Drosophila melanogaster: one gene and its partners. The protein of the gene in region 2 purifies or fractionates together with the protein of the main gene of each other region. This does not show direct contact. Each region holds a gene or a part of one and is shown on either strand. Other genes may lie near its edges. The genes, in order: mip130, CTCF and Sgf11.

What was found.
Region 1: the proteins of CTCF (region 2) and mip130 purify together in Drosophila melanogaster (affinity purification with western blotting, with the first as the bait; one study listed by BioGRID). This does not show direct contact.
Region 3: the proteins of CTCF (region 2) and Sgf11 purify together in Drosophila melanogaster (affinity purification with western blotting; one study listed by BioGRID). This does not show direct contact.

Annotation. Positions count from the first base shown.
Region 1 is NC_004354.4:1,906,562-1,910,318, reverse strand, and holds the start of mip130 (Myb-interacting protein 130), read right to left. Parts: upstream 2,081-3,757; 5' UTR 1,967-2,080; coding exon 1,964-1,966; exon of another isoform or gene 1,492-1,963; intron 1,400-1,491; exon of another isoform or gene 869-1,399; intron 1-868. Other genes in the region: Edem1 (ER degradation enhancer, mannosidase alpha-like 1), read left to right, coding at 2,700-2,824, 2,885-3,757.
Region 2 is NT_037436.4:7,355,090-7,358,846, reverse strand, and holds the start of CTCF (CTCF), read left to right. Parts: upstream 1-2,133; 5' UTR 2,134-2,266; exon of another isoform or gene 2,267-2,387; 5' UTR 2,388-2,389; coding exon 2,390-2,780; exon of another isoform or gene 2,781-2,841; coding exon 2,842-3,757. Other genes in the region: pst (pastrel), read left to right, coding at 67-156, 232-401, 472-1,309.
Region 3 is NT_037436.4:18,680,380-18,683,486, forward strand, and holds Sgf11 (SAGA associated factor 11kDa), read right to left. Parts: upstream 1,458-3,107; 5' UTR 1,310-1,457; coding exon 719-1,309; 3' UTR 658-718; downstream 1-657. Other genes in the region: CG32202 (uncharacterized protein), read left to right, coding at 1,898-1,998, 2,060-2,384; Chmp1 (charged multivesicular body protein 1), read right to left, coding at 2,840-3,107.

The DNA of each region.
Region 1 (3,757 bases), on a different chromosome or scaffold from region 2:
TTATAAACAAGCTCAGTTTCTCATTTCCTGTTGAATGTTTAAACAGACTTCGGGAATAAGCGAAATCGAACTAAGCAAAGTTTACATTTACAGCTTATGCAATTTGTAAACAATATAAGAACAATTAAAGGAACAAAGTGCAGCCACATTGTCGAGACTTTTCATATGCTTAACTGACGATTTTTGGGCCACTTACAGGAGAAGCATAACAAATTGGGTTGTAAATTCAAAAGTATTTATAGAGATCCATCTTAAATCTTTACCTAGAGTATGTGATAAGATAAGAACTTCCTATTTTTATGGATAGATTATTTGGTATAGCTACAGTCTTGGGTCTTGCGAGCTGGTTCTCTGGTCTGATAGTGATTTCTGTGTGTTATAGTTGTATCAATCAGGAATATGACTTTATCGTGTTAGAGAGTTCTTCACAGGGCTTTCCCCTCCTAGCTTGCAGGTGAATTTGTCAGTCGGAGTGACCTGCAAAGCTCTTCAGATAAGACCGCATTACAGGGGACACTCGTTCCAGCACACGCCACCTTATCGGCACATGTGTCCAACTTGGCCAGCCTCCACTGTACTCCACTCCACCTCGGATTGTCCAAAGATAAACAAGGGTTATACAATACATATGTGCGGCAAAAGCAGAGACTCAATCCGCGGATATATATCGGGTTTCGTGCGGAGCTGGGTATATGGGAGGGCGCCTGATGTCGCCAATTGAAAGATCAATTAATTGGCCGACTATTTGGCATCGCAATTTGAGCGGATTTTGCTTCTGCTATCGCACACAAACACACACACCCTCACACCTGGACACGCACACAGGGACAAGCCATAATAATTGTAGATAACTGGGCATTTATCTAACATTTTTCAGCAGTTTTCCGTATTGGGCTGGCTGCCGCGCGTGATTCCTCCGCTATGGATTCCGATTCCGATGCCAATTCCAATTCCAATTCCGAATCCGAGTTCGATTCCGAGTCAGCCTGCTCTCGATATGGAGAACTTAATGATGGTCCGCTACTGGTGGTGACGCTGCTTATTGATCCTGGTCGACGGACATCGCGGTGGCGGAGCAGCGGACTTCAATGTCGATTTCGATTCGATTTGATTCTAATTTATGGACACGGGACGGGCGAAACGCACACCACCCCCCGAGCACACCAACACACCAACACCTTTCCGCTGTACAGATTGCTTACAACACACACACGTTGCGTTGCTGTTGCTACTTTGTTATTGCTTTTGCTCGCCACTTTTGCGAACTGCTCATATTTGTTGCACACACTTTCCGCTGGAACATGCACTCCACGGGATCAAAACACTGCACTGTACTTTCGATTTACTTAGCTATTTCCTTTTTTTTTACACGAGTGTGAAAAAAAAGCAACGAAAATCGACCGTGGAGTAAAATTTTTCGATAGATTTGCGTGAGCGGATAGGGTTGCAACCGCAGCTCCGGACGCTCTTCTATCGATGCCATGCGAGGGGCGACAGCCCTGACCAAAAAATTTAATATTTTTCTTTAATTGTTTATAAATATGCAAACAACTGGGTGGAAACACGATTTCCAGATCCCAAATGGCACACGCTTATATCTACGGTCAACGGGATGGTTTCAATGTGGTTTCTGGTCAGCCAGAGGCAATCCCGCATGTATAGACCCACAATGTTGTTACTTTTCGCCCAACGGACAATTAAGCATACGCGATTGCATTTAAACGATCGCCTTACGCGGAGTACAAAAGGCACACGGGCCGTGATGCAGTTACTCCGCGAGGTTATAGTCGACCCTCTTTCTGAGTTTTTTTTACGCGGAGAATGATTCAAAACCGAAACACATCGCTGCCCATCGCCAGAACTGCAATTCGCAGTCGGAAGCGTAACAAAGGCTGCGGATTTCTTGGTCAGCTCATCCGGAGGATGTCCGGGTGTGAAACGGGTGCAGAGGGCAGTTACTTACCATAGGGTACAGTTGCTTCTATTGGAGGCGGTCGTTTCGCTGAATATTTTGAATTTAAATCACTTTTTACCCGTACGAACACACACTTTTGAATGGCCACAAAAAAAACTGGTATGTGCTGCCAACTCGACGCGAATAAAAGTATAAAGGAACGTGTGCCGCGCAAAGCAGTGACAAACAATCGGTATATTTGTCATCACAAACTTTTTGAATTCTTAAAGAAATTGCCATTTAATTTTTCCAACCCGACTTTAATATTGCCGCGCTGATTTTACGGCTATTCTGAGCTGTTGTATTCCTTTAACAAGCAATGACCACCATGCAAATTCGATCTGACCACCCTTTCGATAGTTATTCGATCAGCAACAGCTGATTGCACCCTACGGAATGACATATCCTATTGCTAGGGATTTTGTTGGGTAAAATTAACGTACTTCAGAATTGGCGGAGAATACAGTGTTTGCTAGCCTATAGTGTTTGGTTGTTACCTTAAAAAAGCTCTTTGGCTTGTGTTCTTTCCCCCGTTTGCTACTCTAAGCGCTCTATAAAAAAACACTCACCGAACGGAATTAGTAGGGCATTCGGCGGTCGATGCCACCGCCGAATCAGCCCTTGTTGTGATTTTGCGTCAACGTAGCCGCATTTGACTTCCACACATCCCACATCCACGCTGGCTATGGAACACTGACCATGCCCATAATTGAATTAGCGGCCCTGATTGATTGACTGTCCCACGATGCAGCAAAAACCCCGAAACAACGGCTATCCGGGCACCCTCATCTGCGCGGTCCTCCTCGTCCTGCTGTCCACCGGTGTCAGCGGCCAGAAGCAGTATTCCAAGGCAAGAAAGTTGGAACTGAGGTGGGTCATTGCTAGGGCTAAACTCGGACATACTAATCCTAACCGGCAATGAATCTGCAGGGAGGATGTGCGGCGCATGTTCCAGCACGCCTACGATGGTTACCTGCGCCACGCCTCCAACTACGATGAACTGCGTCCGCTGACCTGCGATGGCCACGACACCTGGGGCAGCTACTCCTTGACACTGATCGACGCTCTGGACACGCTGGCCACCATGGGCAACTTCACGGAATTCCGCCGCGCGGCAAGACTGCTCGAGGAGAAGATGGATTTTGACAGGGACATCAACGTGTCCGTGTTCGAGACAAACATCCGCATCGTGGGCGGGCTGCTGTCCGCGCATCTGCTCTCCAAGCGTGCTGGCGTAGAGCTAGAGCCAGGATGGCCCTGCAAGGGACCTCTGCTGCGACTGGCGGAGGATGTGGCCCGACGATTATTGCCAGCCTTCGTCACGAACACGGGTATGCCTTATGGCACGGTGAACCTGCGCTATGGCGTGCCCAAGGGCGAGACCTCTATAACCTGTACGGCGGGCGTGGGGACATTCCTCATCGAATTTGGTACCCTTAGCCGGTTGACCGGGAAAACCATCTACGAGGATGTTGCTATGAAGGCGGTACATGCTCTATGGGCATATCGCTCGCCCATTGGACTTTTTGGCAATCACATCGACGTGCAGAGCGGTCGTTGGACCGCCCTCGACTCTGGTATCGGAGCAGGAGTGGATTCCCTTTTTGAATACCTAGTTAAGGCATCTGTCCTGCTCAATCGCCCAGAACTCTTGGAGTTATTCCATGAGGCTCGCGCGGCCATTGATAAGTACATGCGGAAGGAGGACTGGTACGTGTGGGTAGGCATGAACAAAGGCCGCGTCACCCTTCCCGTCTTTCAGTCCCTGGAGGCGTTTTGGCCCGGCATCCTGAGCATTATTGG
Region 2 (3,757 bases):
GTCCTTAAACCCCCCCCCCCACGCAATCAACAATGGAATAAAAATGTTAAATATGTACTCACATAGATCACCCAACTGACTGTGAATAGCATGAACATATCCTCGATTGTGGTATCGGGCACTGGAGTTGCCAATGGTGTGCTGGATCTGATATTGGCAAGTCTCGAAACTTAGACTGTGATTAGATTAGGCTAGATAGATTAAACTTATGAAATTTATGATCTTCCACAGAAAGCAAAAGACGGTGACGAAATAGTTGCGATGGATGTTTTGCAATTGTCCGCTTCGTTGGTGCTGCTCACGCACAGCGTCTACAACTTTAAATTGGCTTCGACCATAATTAATGAGACAAGCAATGCTAATATTGCCGACTATCGTAAAAACCTTTCTAATAGGCAGCGGTAAAAAACGTTCAATGAGATACATTCTGTCGTAAACAAGAGTTTCTACTTGTATTTTTTTTACCATCAGGCGAACCTTTGACAAGGCTGCCAAGGAGACCGTTCGGATGCAAGGCAACACTCGCGGCAAACTGGACATTATACGCAACGTAAACGAAATTTCGCCACAAGAGTTTAATGATCTTTTTAAGATCAACAAAAACTTGAATCAGGAGGGCGTGCGATACTCATTCGCACCCGATGGCAAAGGATTTTTACTAAATGGCGATGTGCAGACGACGGGTGCGGAATTGCGAGCTAGTGTACAACATAACCAAGGAGGGAATGTCCTAGGCAAAGTTAGTCAGCCCATTCCCGGTAGCCATGCGGGTTCTGGTCGCCTTCAACTGGGCGGCGTTAATCAGGTTTCCCGTCTAATCGGACCGCTGCCCACATCCCATCCTCGACAGGAACCCAGTACCTATGCCGCCGGCGTGTTCGCCTTGGAGCTAAGCTCTGTGTTGGTGGGCGGTGTTGTTTTCGTACTGGAGAAATACGGAAAAATCATATTTGAGCACGTGATCAATGCTGAAAGTTTTGAGAGCCTAATCAACATCATGGCCAATAAGCTTGATCCAAAAGTCTTTGACCATATAATGCTATTGACCAGAGCCTTCATGGACACCATGCTGGAAGACCTCACCTCGGTGCTAAAGTTCTTTATATCAACGGAATCCGTTCTTTACCGCATTTTGTTGTACATTTTACGGAACTTCGAGGACGTGCAACTTTCGGTTATTGCGGATCACACTTGTGAGATCGTAGAAGCCGTAAGGGTGTACTTCATGTCCCTGAATCCAAATGCGTTCCCGGGTCTCCTTCAGAAGTGTCCGAAATGTATCGGCCACTTCAGCGTTTGTCCCTTGTAAGTGTTTAACGAAATGGTTCGTTTAACATTAGAATTCAAGGGCCATCAGCATGTCATAATTGATGCCCAATTGTTTAACCACAAAGAAACGTTAGCTAGTTCCGCAAATAATCAATGGGATAACTTACTTAATATGAGCACAAATTGACAAAGATGAAATTGTTTTAGCATTTAAATAAAGATTTTATTAACCCTGTTGAAATAATTGTAATAAAAGGAGAATTTTGAACCGGAATGGTTCTGATTTCCGGTTTTCGAACACAGAATATGTGAATCATTCATTGTGTAAAGGGGATTTTTTTTAATCTTTAAGAGTAATTCCTAAATTTACAATCTGATGTCATCTATACTATGGTATAATAGCAACAGCCATACCACCAAATCATTGAATGCCTTAGAATATAAGTCATAAATTCAAGTATCCCATAAGAACAACCCCAATTCTGGTGACAATAACAAATCCAGCCTGCCCTAATGTAACCATTAACATCTGCTGCCGAATCCGTTATTCCCACCAAAGGGTCAAAACCGCTAACGCAGCTCAAGTTCTCGGCTGATCAGTACCCATGAGCGATCCATCCACTCAAGAGGGCACCCAATCCAACAGACATAAACATCCGCAGGGGCTTTCGCGACATCAAAACCGCTTACGCAGCCCAAATCCTTGGCTTATCCAGTATCCAAAAGAATACAGATTATATTTTTTATCTAATAAATTACCGTGGATTCGTTATTATATATTTTCTGTTATCAAGAATTAAAGATAGTTTATATAGAGATGACAAGATACGAAACCAATCGAACTATCGATAGCTGGCGGTACTGATGCTACATGTCGCCATCTTTTATTAGAAATGGGCAGCTGTTTCATGTGGACGCAAATTAAATTGTAGATTTAACAACAATAACGACAACCGGCGTCCCTTTCAACATATTTTTTATTGGCAACCAAGTGTCGGTAGGTGAATTGAATCAAGCGGGATTACAATTGGTCGTTGCGAGAAATCGATAAGCGCCCTCTTCGGGATCCCGGTCATCCGCTGTGGGTCGCCACCAAAACAAATCCAATTTGTCCATAGGAATGCCAAGGAGGACAAAAAAGGACGAGGACCCCGAGGATCTGCAGACCTTCCTCAACAATTTCCATAAGGAGATCGAAGGCAACAGCGATGAGAAGGTGGTAAACACGATTTTGGAGGCCATCAGCGCCGAGGCCATCGACTTGGATGAAAATGGTGCGGAGGCTGGTGGATCGAAACCGATGGAGGAGGCGGAGGCTGATTTGGATCATGCGGAGGAAGCGGAGGAGGAGGAGGAGGACGACGAGGATAAGTATTTCATAGATGACGAGGGCAACTGCTATATCAAGACTACGCCCAAGAAGCAAAAGGAGCTACAAAAGAAGCTCAAACAGGCGGCTGCCAAGCCGGGGAAAGCTACACGTTCCGTGGTCAGTACAGCCACCAATAAATGTGAGTTACCCTTTGCCATATATGTGCGTGCATTTGTATCACTTGCTCGACTCTTTTTAAGCCATCAATTTGCGGCCAGCCAAATCGACACCGAAAGCGACTACTTCGAAGCCTCCCCCAGAACCCAAGGCAATTAGCGTTCGACCAGCCCGAGCAGCTGCAGCCAAGGCGAAGCAATCGGCGATGCCACCGCCACCGGCATTAGTGGTCAAAGTACCGGCACCCAGGGGCAGGCCTAGAAAGAACCCTGTCATACCGAAGCCTGAACCCATGGACTTGGAGCGGGAGCTCGAGGAGCTGGTAGATGAGCCCGACATCAGTTCAATGGTGACAGAATTGTCGGACTATACCGTAGACGAAGCTGCCGTAGAGGCAGCAACAGCTACGCTGACGCCAAACGAGGCTGAGGTCTACGAATTTGAGGACAATGCGACGACAGAGGATGAGAATGCCGACAAGAAGGACGTAGACTTTGTGCTAAGCAACAAGGAGGTGAAGCTGAAGACAGCTTCTTCTACCAGCCAGAATTCGAATGCATCGGGACATAAGTACTCATGCCCACACTGCCCGTATACGGCGAGCAAGAAGTTTCTGATCACGCGCCACTCACGAAGTCATGACGTCGAGCCATCCTTCAAGTGCTCCATCTGCGAGAGGTCCTTTCGATCGAACGTGGGCCTGCAAAACCACATAAACACGCACATGGGCAATAAGCCGCACAAGTGCAAGCTCTGCGAAAGCGCCTTCACCACCAGCGGCGAGCTGGTCCGTCACACTCGCTACAAGCACACTAAGGAAAAACCGCACAAGTGCACGGAGTGCACATACGCCAGCGTGGAACTGACCAAACTGCGCCGCCACATGACCTGCCATACGGGCGAGAGACCATATCAATGTCCGCACTGCACCTACGCATCGCAGGACATGTTCAAGCTGAAGCGACACATGGTTATCCACACCGGCGAGAAGAAGTACCA
Region 3 (3,107 bases), about 11 Mb from region 2:
ATTCGCTTGTACGCCAGGGGAAATTTACTATGGGGACGGATTTCACGACTATTATCTGGCAGACTGACAAAATTATCTTTAAGTTCGATGGCGAGTTCTTCGGAGCAGTAAACAATCCGACACTTCTTGAACCATTTCGAAAACATGAGGTAAGACGCCTTCCTCTAAAAGATGTAATATCTCTATGATCTTTCGTTTTTAGTGCCATCTAGTCCTTGGCCTAACCGCCGGCGGCAATGTTAATTTCAATGACGACATTCTAGAAATGAAACACAAGCCCTTTTTAAACACCCACCCCAAAACTGACAAACAATTCGAGGAGTTGTCTAGAAATTCGGACTGGACACCCCTAGTGGTCGACCATATCCGGGTGTTTGCCATTGATAAGGAAGGAAAATAACCAAAATATATACTCTTTAAGTTGTAAAATATAAAACTAAGGCTTGCTTTCATATTATTACATTGAATTACTTCATTTAGCACCAGGAAAGTCTATGTTTAAAAGCGCCTATTTGCTGAAAAGTTATATTACCCTTGTCCTATGATATCTAGATATTAATTGATTAGATATTGCCACTAACTGCTGTCCTATTCAAATGATCTCAAAGAAGAGTAGGGGTCGATCACCAAAATCCCATTAGTTTAGAATACATTGGTGACTGATTTAAAGGTGTACTTTTATGGCAGAATAAACTACGAAAATGATTGTTAGCTCTGACTAAAAGGTTTTGCCATTGTTCTTCTTGGAGCCGTTGTTCCTTGAGTTCTGGTTTGATTTCTTTCGACGCTTGTCGGACGACCAGTCCACGTCATCCTCATCATCAGTGCCTCCGGTATTTCCCGAAGAGTGCAGGTGGGCGGATGTGGCGCCCTCTTTGGTGGCCAAGCGACGAGAGGCAATTCGCGACGAGATACGACCCATGCCCATGCACTTTTCCAGGTGCGGGGCGAAGCGGGCGGCGGCCACCAGGCGATCACAGTTGGGGCAGGTGCAGTCCATTGGCTTTTTGGCCGTTGAGATGCCGAATATGTCCAGGTTGGGCATCTCGCACATTCGATAGGTTGAGTCCTCCGGCACTCCGTCCAGGGCGGCCAGATTCCCTGACTTTCGCAGATGATGTGTCTCGTTAAAGATTCCGACTACGGCGTCGTCGAGCAGCGACTGGTACAGATAGTTGGCCGCCTCGTCGAGGTTCTTCGGTTCCTTGATCAACTCCCGGAAGTGGTTTACAATCGTAGTGCTAGTTGTGGGAACTTGGTTTCCCGATCCCTGAGCTCCTGTTGTCGTCGGCATGTTGGCTGCAGACATAATAGTTGGCGCAAACACTATATCTATTTGCTTCTGGCTGTCTTCCTGTCTGCTCTGGAAGATTTGTTTGGCATGCCGGTTGTTGTTGTGGAACTACATAAGTTACTAATTGTGGGTTTGCTTAACACGGCTGTTTGCAAAATGAGAGAGTTGCCAGGCTGGTGCAAATAGGGGTAAATAGTTTTAAGGAACTAGATATTCAATTTAAATAGTTGCATCTAAAAGTAACAGCTTTAACCGTTATAGCAAATTATAAAATTTATATTATTAACCAATTTAAATAGTTTATATTTTCATTAACTTATAATTTTAAATGCATCAGGTTTTGTCATTTCATAAAACGAGTATGTAAAGTAATTATTATGACCAGTTAAATCTTAAATTAAAGACAATTATGTCAAGCAGTTTTTATGCACTTTTGCTAAATTTAGTTCAATAAGTGAACTAGTCCTTTTTTGAATAAATATGACGTGGCAACGCCTGTACCGACAGACGGAGCAAGAAGAAAATCGCCCATCTGGCCACACTGAGCCATGGCGTAAATAAAAACATTTCTAAATATTGAACTATAACCAATATCTGTATAAAATGTTGCTAAATAAGAAAGAACTCATGTACAAACAGCTGGTGGAAAAACTGTATGACAGGTGCCAAAGGATTCAGGCGGAAAATGAGCGATGTGTGATGAGGTAACCGTCATTTTTATGCTCCACGAAACGTAAACAAAAATGTGCAGTACCTTTTATCCAGAGTAAATGGGATCAAAAAGATAGTAAGAAGGCGCAATCATGACGTGGAGCTTCTAAAACGGCGACTAGATAAGCACGGAGACGACTGGCGATCCGTTCCCATGGAGGCTCCACATCCCAAAGGGAAAACCGAGCAGAAGCGTCGAGGACCGAAGCCCAAAAACAAGCAGGCGGCGGATGAAACAGGAGCACCCGGGTCTGAGCCTGGACCCAATACTCCAGCTGCCCGGAAACCCCGAAAGCAAAAAGCCAAACAGGCACCCATCAATCCCAATCCAGTCATTGCACCACCGCATCAACAACCTCAACCTCCACTGTTGACCTGAGTCATAGCGATTGCTTGGCGTGTTCTAGTTTTAAGATAAAGGGCTTGTATACTTTTAAATATAATATTAAGACAAATAAAAGCTAAGACCAGAAATGAATTATAGTAACCAAAGCAATGAAAGTTGTGATTGCTGCAGAACCATTTCTATTTCCAAATTATGCTATATCTTTCCAAGTAAACAAGTTACAAAAATTGGCAGGTCTTCAAATAACTATAACAACAAAGCCTTTAAAACATGATTATCGTATATTGCATTAGAAAAGCATGTAAATCATAATCCGTTTGAAGCCTATACAAACAGCACACTTACACTTAAAGATTCATGGCAATTCTTCTGATTATGGTAGACAAAGCAGCATCGATAGACTTCCAATCACTGAGTTTATACTTATTTATATTTTGAATGTACTTAATTGCTAAAACAGAAATTCAACGGGCAGGGCGTCGCTATTTTTATTCAGCCTGGCGGAGACGTGCCAGTCGCTGGGTGAGCTCGTCTTGCTCTTGGGACACTGCTGTCGAGGCTCCAACGGATTGGCTCTGAACTCCGCTGGGCAGCTCCATGTTGAGTTCGAGGCCAGCCTCGTCGGCCACTTGCTGGAGCAGATTGTCGACATCTCCCTGAGGCACCGAGGTGGTTACCGTGTCGGACATGGTGCCCTCCATTACCGAGCTCTGGACGTCCAGGTCTTCGAACTGCGATTCAAACTTCTCCATCAGG